2 linked regions of the Drosophila melanogaster genome follow. The protein of the gene in region 1 purifies or fractionates together with the protein of each later gene. This does not show direct contact. Each region holds a gene or a part of one and is shown on either strand. Other genes may lie near its edges. The genes, in order: yuri and Tm1.

The links.
Region 2: the proteins of yuri (region 1) and Tm1 purify together in Drosophila melanogaster (affinity purification with western blotting, with the first as the bait; one study listed by BioGRID). This does not show direct contact.

What each region holds. Positions count from the first base shown.
Region 1 is NT_033779.5:15,258,100-15,266,330, reverse strand, and holds the start of yuri (yuri gagarin), read left to right. Parts: upstream 1-2,103; 5' UTR 2,104-2,204; coding exon 2,205-2,561; intron 2,562-2,666; coding exon 2,667-2,999; coding exon of another isoform or gene 3,000-3,092; exon of another isoform or gene 3,093-3,164; intron 3,165-3,202; coding exon 3,203-3,361; intron 3,362-3,528; exon of another isoform or gene 3,529-3,704; coding exon 3,705-3,956; intron 3,957-4,026; coding exon 4,027-4,261; intron 4,262-4,318; coding exon 4,319-4,419; intron 4,420-4,490; coding exon 4,491-4,613; intron 4,614-4,693; coding exon of another isoform or gene 4,694-4,870; exon of another isoform or gene 4,871-5,122; intron 5,123-6,587; exon of another isoform or gene 6,588-6,977; coding exon of another isoform or gene 6,978-6,980; intron 6,981-7,039; coding exon of another isoform or gene 7,040-7,312; intron 7,313-7,392; coding exon 7,393-7,549; intron 7,550-7,621; coding exon 7,622-7,827; intron 7,828-7,889; coding exon 7,890-8,158; intron 8,159-8,225; coding exon 8,226-8,231.
Region 2 is NT_033777.3:15,279,607-15,284,564, forward strand, and holds the start of Tm1 (tropomyosin 1), read left to right. Parts: upstream 1-1,943; 5' UTR 1,944-1,997; exon of another isoform or gene 1,998-2,251; intron 2,252-4,958. UniProt on the Drosophila melanogaster protein: Tropomyosin, in association with the troponin complex, plays a central role in the calcium dependent regulation of muscle contraction.

The sequences.
Region 1 (8,231 bases):
AACACACTCATCTTCAAATCGCCAGGGCTTGCACACTAACTGAAAAACACAATCTGCAGCTCGGACGGAATGGCCTGAGCATACGAGCGGCATTGATATGGCGGATACTGACCACGATTATAGATGACCGCCAGCCAATAACCCGAATACATAAATATATCAATTAGTGCGCCCCGAATCGTAAAATTTCGTTTCGCAACCCATTTTGTAAGCCTGACATTCAAAATTCAACAGTTAAAAATGCTATTGGATAAGGCACCACCATAATTATTATCCCTCTAATATATTTCTTGATATTCTCTAATTACTGTTTATGGTCATTTCTTTGCGCATAACAAGTGTATAGCAGTAAGCCCAAACAACCACATACACACCTGCTCCACCACCACCCCATTCAGAGCCACAACCACACACACCACATCCACCCACAAGAATCGTACGCAAAGCAAGATAAGAGAAATAATGCATAATGCAGCCCCTAATTGTAAGCAGCTGAGTAAAAAGGTAAAGAAGCAACAACAGAAATATAAGCAAGAAAATATTAATAACTATAAATATAGCTAAAGTAATAAATTTATAAATGAATTATGAATTTTAGAGAGCGTTTGATGTACATTTATACGTCGTCTGTTTCAATCCAAATAAAAACATTCATCCCACGTTTTGAGATGCGTGTGAACAGAACGTAAGGATTGCAATGACTATTCATATTCCTCTATCTTCATTTTTTGTGTACGCCCAAAGCAACGTGAAGTGATTATGATAATCTGTACGAAAAAGTTGTTTTATCTATTAGTTGATATGTGGGAATCGATTCCAGGCATATGTAGGCAACACTTCTGTAATGGATTTGAGTTAAGTAGGACACACATAGAATTGATTTTGAAAAACAATTTAACGCCGAACCGAAAGCACGAAAACGGAAGCAAGCAAACGCGATCTAAACACTGTAAATAAATTTTGTTCTTACATAAAAGAGAAATCGATATAAATAAAACGTATAATGAGCGTTAACACAGTTGTTGTCTATCTTTTAAAAGGATTTTAAAATATTTTCAATGAAATGCTTTTATTCGCCTGTACAATAAAACGAACTTGGTAACAATTTAAATCTGCAAAAAATCTACTGTTTTCAATTGGTGCCCAACATATTGTGCTAATCGTGTAAAATTTGGGATGGGCAATAAGACTTAAGGATTGGCATAATCATTCTCTGAATCATTCGAAATTTTTTAGTTCTTAATCTTTAAAATTCATGGTTTTTGCAGCTTTTTTCCAGCTATTGTGTAACCGCGTTGAACGACCATATCGGAGTTATCAATGCGACCAAACAAACTTATCCATGGGCAAATATACACCGGATGAGTTAACAATTATACGAAATTGGCAGAACCCCGAAACCGCAACTTGGGCAAACAGCGATGACTTTCGCATATTGTGTAAGATACATACATACATATGTATATCGTGAGCCCGGCCAGAAATTCAGAATGCTAAGTTCTTGGGTAAACACACGCAGCGATCCAATTCGATTCCCCGACGCACTGATAAGCGCTGAGAGTCCGTCGAGTTTTTCAACTCTCTAGAGAGCCGCTCTTGGCCGGTGGTGGTGGGGAGCGAGTGTGTGGAGCGGAGCGCTCAGTTCGGTTTCGTTGGCGATCGCGAACGGAGCGCAGACGAAACGCGCGGTATTTGGATCGTGGCAAGAAATAAAAACAACAACATGCTGAAACCGTATACTTAATACGCGTGTGTGTAGCTCAAAAACAAGAAAAATATAAATAAACAAAACTACATTGCTACGTCAGAAGACTGCAAACAAAAGATATGAACGCAGCGCGCTGAGCTGCTCTTGACGTCGCCGCCAAGGTTCGAATCAGATATATTTTCTCTATTTTTTATTTTTTTTTCCGCCCATTTTTGTGTTGTTTTTAATAAGCTTACAACTTTACAAGTGTTTTTTGTTGTGATTTTTGTACTTTCGTGAGTGATTTGTGATTTGCGATTTGCGTGCAGTTGAAGGCGAGGAGAACTGCATTCGATCTTTCCGATCAGCAGTGCCTTGAGATTGCCGCTTTCGAAGTGAACGTTTCGATGTAGAAACCTTAAAGTCATACTCATGTCTAATTACACAAGCTATTCCCTGGCCGACTAAATCAGCTCTTAGTAAGAAGAACGTGGTAATTACATTTTGAATTGATATCATGGCCAGTCGCCAAGCCGGTTTCGTCCTAGACGCCAAGTCCATGGGTCTGAATCCGTCGAGACCTGCATCATCGCCACCGCCACCACCATCATCTGCCAGTCAAATGTGTCGGCAAGTGCAGCCAACCGGAACGAGTGCCTCGCATCCACATCAAGAATCGACGCTAAAAGCCTCATCTCCTGATCGGTGCACTGCCAGCACCGAGGCGATGTCCACCGAACATTACCGCTGTCTGATCCAGAAGCTGCGGGATACCAACGGCGATGCTGGCGATATGAGCTTTGAGCTGAACAGCATATTTCTGAAGCGGCTGGACGAGATTGACTGCCTAGATGAGCACGAGGGTGATGACATGGTGAGATTCGTTGTAAATCAAGGATGGTATCCATTGAAACTAATTCCTAGCAAAATCCCCCTTGAGATAAATTATTTTATATGACCCATTTTCATACCCTTTTAGCACACTTGCCAGTTGCGTCTGGTCACTTTTCAGGAGTGGGTGGATTTCCTGCTCCACGTGAACAGCGTGATCCTGGGCAACGTGTCGGACTTGGAGAAGGAGGCGTACAGCAAGATCGTTGCCTGCTGTCAGTCTGTCCAAGTGCGACAACAGCATACCCTCGAGGAGAATCGTAGGCTGCGTGAGGACATTTGTGCGATCATAGAACGCGTGCAGCATTCTCCTCACTGCACCGACTTTGATTTCAATGGCATTTCCCTAGAGACACTGACCGTTAATCAATTGCGGGGCGTGGGAAAGGATCCCGCCCACGCGGAATGCGAGAGCGAGAAGGTAGGCCATAGATCCTTGAAGGGAAAAGGCGGCGGTGATTCCAATGTCAAGTGGGACCCGAAGTCGTCCCACAAGCGCGAGAACTCTAAATGATTGTCTCGCTAACTAAATACGTATATTTTGTGCTGCTCTTAATAAAATTTGATATTTTGTTCATCGATATTTAATGCTTGGCTTTGATTGGCGTTTAACTTTGTTCGCAGATGTCCGAGAGCATGAAGTCCTTAGTCGGCGAGATAGCCGCCAAGCATGACGAGATCGGCGAACTGAAGTCACAGATCAATGCCTTGGACGAGGTTGTACACACGGCCAGGCAGAAGTTACTTTTGAAGGATCAGTGCATAGCACAGCTCAATCAACAGGTGAGATATCCTATTGTGGCATTACTCAACCAGAAATCTGCATATGTGCATTGTGTGCTTATGGAAGGAATTTATTCAATTCGTTGTTTTAAAAACAAAAAACAAAAACATCATCGTCGTCAGGTGACGTTACTCATTATTGAGCTCAGTTTAATTATAGATTCATTGGAATACTTTTCTTATCGCTTAATCGGCTGCTTAAGCGTACAATCGAAAACCTAATCGAGTATCTTTTTAGTGAAATACCGAATTTCTTGGTAAAATTTTCAGTGTATTCAATCAAAAAGCACATCGAAACTTTCTAACTAGCTTTTTTTTAACATTCCAAATACCGTGAAAACAGCTGCACGAGATCACCCGGTGCATTGAGTCCAGAGATCAGGCCAAAATGGAGGAATCGCCCAACGATACACTGACCGCGGACGCGATTACAAGCGATATGCTCGAGAATCTCTCGATCCACGACACCCAGGAGAGCGAAATGCTGCGGCTGCTAAACGCGGAGCTCAATGATCTTCTCGATCTGCACAACAAACAGGAGTTCCAGACCATTGAGATTCGGCGAAAACGTGTGTCCTGCTTTATCGAAAAACTGGTGAGGGATTCGACTTACATATTTCTGAGCTTTAGCATATCCTCATTAATTACACCCTTCTTAATCAAAGGTATCCGAGCGTGAGGACACTCTGAAAAAACTCGAGAGCATTCGTAGTCATCTGACAATCCTTCAGTCAGACCTCGATCAATCCTGCCTAATCTCCGTTGATCCCGAATCAGGGCCCTGTGATCTGGACGCGGATGCTCAGATGCTGGAAGCTCTACGTAGACGCCTGCTCAACCTTAGCCAACTTAATCGAGAACTGCACGGAAAGTACCAGCGCCTGGACACCGAGTCGAAAAGTGGGTATATCCGATTCTCGATACTTTTGCTATAACTATTTCCCTATTTGCAAAAAGTCAAAATTTCAGAGCTGGAGGCGAGGATTGAATCGGAAAGCAGCGTTCTTCAAAGAAATAGCGATGTTCTAAGGGAGATCGCCGAACTCATCTGCTCGTTGGTGAGTTAAGACTCTTCTCTATTCTGCAGGATTGCAGGAAATGCATATTAAAAATATGTGCATCATTTCAGGGTTCCAAGGAGTTCTCCTACAACGAAATCTACGACGAATCCTCGAAAGAAAATCCATTTTGTACGACCATTGCGGATATGTTTGCACGGAAATTCGAGCAGGAGCAAAATCAAGTGGAAATTGTGAGTATCTGACGGCTTTGATTGCATCGCAAATAACCAATAGCCGATTCCAATAACCCCGGTTGTCATATCAAATGCAGGAATGCGATACGAAAACACCTTCCCAAACAAGGAAGCCAACCAAAACCACCAAAATCCCGGGAGCCACGGCAAAAACAAACAAACAACAACCAACACCTAAACCTTCAAACAAGCCAACGACAACTAAAACTATACCAACGAAAAACACAACTACAACGTTTAGGACCTCCAAGTAACTATGTCACTTGTTGGGCCTCCTAAACAGTTAGTCTAATCTAAGCCACGTTAAGAAGTTTGTATAGTTTAGCTTAAAGTTTGTCGTTCTTAAGTTATTTATCATCGCGATTGTTCGCCACGAAAACTCAACTCCACTCAAATCTATATCTATCTATATATGGTTAAACAGAAACTAGAATCACAGATTGCTGAAATGAATAGTTTTAATGAAATGAACTAGTTTTAAATAAAGTTTCTTTCATATCCCAACCAAATTATGAGCTTGAAATACATTTCCGATTTACGTTTCAGCACATAGAACTTTCTTCTTATGTGGTAAACGACATTCGCCTTCACATATATACTCGGTACAGTATATACTCGGTAAATCCTGGCTGGATTGACAAAAGAACTACTGTTGCCATTCGAGTCCCCGATTTATTTACCCATATATATATATATATGAATATATATATATTGGGCCCAGACACAAAAGAAAGAGATCCACTTCACTCATCCCGCCGGGCAAATGTCTACATACGACAAATACAAATCGTTCGCCAATGTGTTTATTGTGGAAACTCGGCTGTATGTTCAACTGCAATTGCCCCTGAGGGGGGAGCACCTTCTGCCCTCCAGCCAGTGGAGCTGGCGAATCGGAAATAGGTTTCGTGTTATTTATTTACCCACAATCGACACGCGATTCCGGCGAGCAGTGATATGCATATTGATGAGTGCCGCCGGGATTGGGACTTCACTGACTAGGACTGCTCGTGATCCGCGTGACTGCAAGGACCACGACCATTTACATCGATCTCGATCGTATGCACTAAGTAATTCATAATACCGAACCAACTTAAATTGAGCTCAGTGCAAATACAAATATTTAGTAATTACCTAAATAAATGTTTATTTAGATATGACTAATTCCCGAGGTGTGAACAATAAACAAAGTCGTCACCCCTCACGCCATCATCTCTTTGGCGAAACTGTCGGGCGCAAAATCAAACACAACTCGGCAGGAAGCCCCAGCAGGGGAGCAGTTCGCTTCAGAATCCTGTCATCCGTCGGCGGATTTGGCCGTTTAGTCGCGTGAAGCGAATCAAGGAAGCGCCAGGAATAACGCGCCAAATCCTCGCCAGCCAATTTACGAGGCGTAATTAGTCGCCTAAGTCGCGCTCCGTCGATTTGATTATCTTTTCGGCGCGAAAAACGAAAGGAAAATCGGGCAATTAGAAAGGAGAAAGTTGGCCAAAAGTGCAAATTGTTTTCGAGTGCTTTCGCAAAGAGGGACGCGAAGTGCAGTGAAGAAAGTTGGTGCTGCGAACCGTAAATGTGCAAATGGAGCCGATGGAAAAGCGAATTGTTGGGCTCCGCTAATGGGTTTAATGACAGACAAGGAATCATAAGAATTCATTGCCCCCGTCCCAATCGATTTTCACATTTCCCCGAGCCTGAGCTATCAATTTCGTAGTACTAACCCCCCGCCCCACCCACTGCAATATAATATGCCTTTAAAAGTGTTTTAAGTGCGCCGAGCCACGCTCGCCCAACTCCCCTCCACTCATCATTCATAAATATCCATATATCTATCGTATCCAAGAAATAGACAGACGATATAATACTATTCGCTGCCACCCGCTGCAACTAACTTTATTTTCAAATCGTGTCAAACAGTCGGGCCGCGCAAATAATAATATCTATAAAACTAGGGGAAGTCACCCCCCCCCCCCCCACTCAACCATCCTTCACCCCCCACCCCTTCAAGCACCCAACAAACTTGTGTGTTGCCAAAGTGCCAAAGAAGCGAAACTTTGAAACCGGAAACCCGAAACCTTGCCACCTCCTACGTTTCGAATTGGTTTTATTTTCGTGACAAACTTTTAATAGCAATATTATTGAAATGAAATGAAACGGTAATGAAGCCAAAATTCGTCTGGGGGTCATATTTGCGAGATATATTTGCAAGCTCGGCGGCACGAAGGCTCCATTTCTAGGCATTCGACACCGAAAACGATTTAAACACATAGATATGTACATCCGCGTATCTGCAATCGACAATTGACAACTGACAGGTGATTTCGTGCGCGGATTTGCAGGCAATTAGTTACCGATTTCCGAGTGGCCATGGTAAGCCTCGAGAATAGCGGTACCAACCAAGTGAGCCACAACTCAATTTGAATTTGTAGAACACAGGCAACAGCTCCACCGATTGCCCCCACCGCCAGCAGTTGGAGCACACGCTGCTCCACTGCCAGACCGAGTCGGATCTACTGCAGGCCACCCGGGATAATTACCTCAGCATCATCGATGAGTTCAAAAGGGATCTCGAGGAGCTGACCGAACAGGTGGAGCAGCAGCAGCAGCAGCTGCAGCAGAGCTCACTAGCCAGCCAATCCTGCCCAGAGCCCGAGCTCCATTTCGTCGATCAGTCACGGATCAACTGTGAACTGGAGATACAAGTTGGATCCACTAAAGCACACATTTACCAAATTGCTCCTAATCGTTTCTCTGATTTCTCGCCCACTTTTTTCCCCACCAGAACGGACAACTTTCCTGCCAAATCAAGGGACTGCAGGAAAATCTAAAGGATCGAGATAACCAGATTAGCCAGCTGCAGTCCATGATCAATAGCTACTCCGATTTCAGCGAGAACAATCGGCTCAAAGAAGAGATGCATGTCCTCAAACAGAAGAATTGTGAGAGAAAACTTATAATTTTCAATTAAAAGCTCTTTCTATATATATATATATATATATGTATACTATCAGGTGATCTATCCCGCCAACTGCGAGACCTCCCTTCCCTGCTGAAAAACCAAGAAAATCAAAGCGTGGAACTCTGCACGAAGTACGAAAGCCTGATGGCCAGCTTCGAGGATCAGTGCCAGGAGCTCAAGGACGCCAAGAGGAAAGCGCAGAGCCTGCAAACGCGACTGGATCAGGTGGAGCAGCTGCAGGATGAGCTGAGAACAGAGGTGGCGTATCCGACTATTGTCGTCCTTGGGCACAAAGAAAACTGAGGTATTATGAATTTCAGCGCAAAATCTTGCGAGAGGAGGTGGTCGCTTTGAAGGAGAAGGAGGCTGTGTCCTCGGGCCGAGAGCGGGCACTTCAAGATCAACAAAAGAGTGCCCAGTTGGAGATGGAAAAGATGCGCACTCTTGTTCGGAAAATGCAGAGCCATCTGCAGCTGGATGACATCCGGCATCGCGAAAGTATCCAGCGGATGAACGAGACAACTGAATCTCTGCGGGAGGAGTTGCGCACCATTTCGGAAAATTGCCAGCAAATGCAGATCCGCCTAAAGTAGGTAATTTTCCAGGATAGAGTGCATCCATATAAGAGCAGCTGCCATGTTCTCTCTTCCCGCCAGTCAACA
Region 2 (4,958 bases), on another chromosome or scaffold:
ACCCAGTCGTCTATGCCCCTCAGCCCGGATTAAACTTTTCCATACTATTTTCGCCAAATATGGTCGCGATTTTTCTAACAAGATTGCGCACTTGTCTGAGCCAAGCTGAGTGCTACACACTCATGAACTTATTTAATTCGCGTATATTTTGGAATTATGAAAACTTTGGTTTTCCATAACTAACACATGTCAACGGGTCGGATTCGATGGCCATGATTTCGTTTTCGTATTTAGCAAGTTGCTCAGACTGTTTTGCTATTTTACAATGTTTTTCGACGTTTTCTCAAGGGTCTTTTCCATGTCTATGTCTTCTTTGTTTTTTTTTTTCTTTGTCTTTATAAATATATTGATCTAGTTTTCTTGCTTCGAAAACTTTTTGTTTTTAATGAATACAATTACGTCATTTTGTGGGTGTTGTTTGAGTTAATTTTAAAATTTTCATCAACCTCGGACTGGCAAATGTTCTCCAAGATAAGAGAACAACAAAAAATGGAATAAGTAAATACATATATGTATATATGTTGGGGCTATCAAATTGGCTTATATTTATAGGTTTATATTTAAAGACTTTAGTTGCATTCGAACATATAAGATCTCCAACAATTTTGTTGGCGATAAGATTAAAAGGGCGTGATCAACGAGTAAGCAAGCAATCTAGAAGGGCAAATATGCATATCACCAGATCGGAAACTCAACGATTATGGGGAAACTGAATTTCAACCGTTTTCACGTTTGCAATTTAAAAAAGCATGAATCATGGATGCATTTTCTTGCGAGACAGTTACAAAAAAACGTATACTTTCATATGTGACATTTATGATTGCCAGCAAAATGTTTTCCGTTCGCAGACATGACGTTGAAAAATCTATAGAAAGAGCTTTAATATATAGAGCAGAAAATAATAATCTGTAGACCTATGGGGGAAATACGTACGTATAACTACGTGAAACAAGATTTTTTGGCATATCAATAACTGAAAATTAAAAATAGAAGTTGAGAACATCAAAAAGCAAAACAAAACGATCCCCAAACCAATACACTCTCATCGGGAAAAGAGACACGATTGCCTAAGTATTGGATATATTTTGCAATGGGCAAAAACACTGGGTGAAAAGAGCTTTTCAAAATACGGGGAAATATTCAAAAATAGGCTGAAAGAAAGGCATTCGATTCGAAATGAGTGAGCATTACCCATACATGTGCAGCGAACAGGTGAAAGCACCAAGGAAAGGATCGGAAAAGAGAGGCAGAGAGAAAGCGGAGAGAGAGCGCAGGCGCCGGGCTTGAATGTGTGTGTATAAATTGTAACTGTATTTGAAATTCTGATCTTATGCTTTCCGTTACACTGGCAGAAATCGGATAGGAACATAAATTAAATATATTACGGGCTGAGGGGTAAAGAAATGTTGTACAGCTTTCTTAACTGGCATAGCCCATTTCACTTTGGAGTATTTTCTGAATGAAAAAAACATTTAATATAATTTATAAATGAATTTCAAAATTCAAATTTGTAATAACAAAAGTAGCATGAGTAAATGATGATAAATGATAAGTGCGACATAAATTTATAAATACATTAAATCAAAAGTGCATATTAAATGTCCTGATATTAGAAAGCATGCATGATTACATTAAATATGAGTATATAAATAAGAACAAATGCACCCCTTTGTTGATTTCGCGCAGTGTATAAGCTATTGTACCCCGGCCGAGCAATTTACCGATGCTCTTGGGGTAAATTGAGAGCCAAGTGCAGTTCCAAAGTAGGCGCAGACAGCAACAACATATGCTCGCTTTTGGCCGAAAAGTGCGCACTCTCGCACACAGATACTCACGCACACAGGCGCACTAGCGCGGCGGCTCACACGCACACACACCAGCGCAAGCCGCTCGAAATCGACCAAGCGGCGAGCATCGAACGTCAACATATTGAATAAATATTTTCAGTTGAACATCACAATCCGTTCAAGTCGCGGATAACTCCGAATAAAAGTTTTGTAAGTAAAAAGGAATACGTTATCGTTGATCAGTAAAAAATTATACAAAAAAAAATACAAAGATATCGCTGAATATTTCCACAAAAATACTTGTCGAGTGCTTCAAAAATAATTTTAACTGTGCTAGAATTCGATTCTTATTTAAAAAAAAGGATCGAACCAAAAAGTATAATTACATAACCACAACGTTGCTGCAATATCTAACTTAAAATCCACCAAAGTGCTGTGCAATTCTCAACCCTAATCATCCGCAAGTATTGAAAAAAATTGAAAATTTTCCCAGTTAGAATCGAAATAAACCCAAATAGAGGTTAAGCACCTTTGCAGATCGCGAAAAAAAAACTAAGAATAACGATTCTGGGGACCTTGTCAAGTTTGTCTGCTAACCGCAAGTTGCTATATAGGGTTTCAGCTAAACGTATTTCATGAGATATATAAACATGGTCAGTGGGAACTTCGAACGATCTTAGATTTTAGCGGCAGAAGTAAAGAATTAAGGCAAAAGGAGGATTATCGAGCTCTCTTTCCTCCTTTCAGAAACTAAAATTGTCATGTTGTATATGAGAAAGTAAGGGAATCATTCTTAAGATAAAGATCAATGAGATAGACTTCAAGATAGCTATCCTTGCTATGGAATGGTTTCCTGAATTATAATTTTCTTTAATCCAAAATGTTTAGGAATTCATTGAGCCTATTTTCCAAGTAACTGGGCAACACGCGCATTTACTTTGCAGTTTTGTATCTTTGAAATCTGATCCACGACCGCTGGCCCTAGCTGCCAAATGAATCTGAAGCGAACGTAGGCGAAATGCGCCAAGAATTTCCCAGAAAGCTCCCTTCCTCTCAGCTTAGTATTAAGTAATATCCGTGGAGAGGCTAGATATTCAACAGATGCCTCGGCTGTCCTATTTTTAGATACAATCCGTGTGTGCTACAGATACTAAACAGTGAAATAGAGAGCAGGAAAGCTGCTAGAGTATCGCCCAAGGCATTTGGCTAAAGAATCTATATGCATTAGACCCATTTGAACCAACGTGTGTATATATCGTACTCTAAGAATAGAAAATTCTGTATTCTGTATGATTAAATTCCGAATTTTCCATGCGATAATTTGTAAATTTTGTGTGGAAAGGTAGATCTTATAAGGTCGGATACAGATGGAAAATATCTGTAACTTGTAAACTAGGCAGAAAAGTAGGAATTGCGAGGTGCCAGTTCATAAGGATGGCTTGTTAGTTGGCCATAGTTAGTTAGATATAAAAAATGAGTTATACATATACGCATTTTGTTTCCTGAAATATTAACTTTGTTCCTAATGATAACGTCATTTCTTGATAAGGATGATCTTAATACTCATAAACCTCTTTGGTGTAGGCCCATTTTTCGATTATATATATGTCATTGCCGAAAGTTATAAGATGTCATGGGAATTTTGTGCTGAATCAACGCAAACATAACTCAATGTGTCACCTTAATCGACTTATGGCCCATACACATGCAGATTTATATATATATATATATGTATATCTGTGTGTTTTTTAAGCGAACAAAAAATTTGCCTCGATTGCGTTTTCATTAAAATTCAACGTTTTTTTTTTTTGGCTTTGGCTTTATTCGATTGGCGCTTTTTTCTCCAATGCCACTTCTCTTCGGCGGATCAGGCACAGGAATGTAAACAGAGTTTTTAAAAATAAATGCATGTTTAAGGCAGAACCACACAACAAATGACAGCGATGAGCCGTAATAAAGAATTAAAATTTCACGCGGCGAAATTCGAGTCAATTAGCCGCCGGCTGCACTCGGTTCGAGCCATGACAAATGTTGGTCAAGTGGGTTTCGTGTTGGCCAGGAAAGGCAAAGGGGGTGTCAATGGGCACCAAGGAGGGGCCAAAAAACCCACCAGCTGCGTTCACATTGAGTCAGAAGTCTGGAGCTGCTCGAGAAAAGGGGCAATAGCCCAGTGCAGCTGAGTGATTCATCTTGGGTTTTTAATTCGAGGATGGTAGCTACAGCATCTGCACTTTACTGATAAGAATGCAATTCCAAGATAAAGCGCACATTTGTAAATATAAATTGATTTGAGTAAACATATATGGCACCTAAGAGTATGCAATGATATATGTTAGTTAAAAAAATATATTAAATGAGCTTACTATCATTTCAAATCCTCATTCTACTTTCGAAGATTTAGAAGACTTTATCTATGCAGCAATTTCTTGGCCCAGATTGGAATCTACTGACACAATTTTGGCTGGTGACAGAACTCTCTATTCGAGAATGTACCCAGTTCGTCCAGCTTCGTTTGGCTCCACACCACGCGATCCGATGTGATCTGCATAAATAAACACCCTGCTTTCGGTGTTTCGAAGTATATCCCAGAAAATAAGGTTCAATTTTAGGTATTCTCGTTTAAATGATTTACTGTGACGAGATGAGAAAACACTCTCAAAGTTCAGAACATCAGCGAAAGAATCGGACAATAAAAGTCGTGAAGAGACGCCGTCGAAATATTAAATTCTCAATTTATCAGTTGGCTAAGCTCGAACAATGCGACTGACTGGCATCGAAAAGGGGGCCTTGGTTGTTTCGGTTTTGGCCAGGCCGAATAATTTATTGACTCTGCCACCTTTCGTCCAAAAATGGCTATCCATTATTGCAAAAAACTCGCTGTGTAGCTTGAAATGGAAGAAAGATCTGCCAGTTATTTTGATAACATGCAGATAAGATGGGAGCTTTAAAGTTATGAATTTAAATACATATATGTGCAGAAATCAGATTGCAGGATCCTCATGTAAATACACAAGTTATAAAATTGCTAAATTAATCATAAAATGCAAATGCATTTTCCATATAGTTTCACTTTCGCACAAGCCATGTTTGGACTTGAATACTACTCCCCTTGCACTTGCTGATTATCGCATAAATCTGCTAATTGCTTTATTGGCTTGCACTTAACCATGG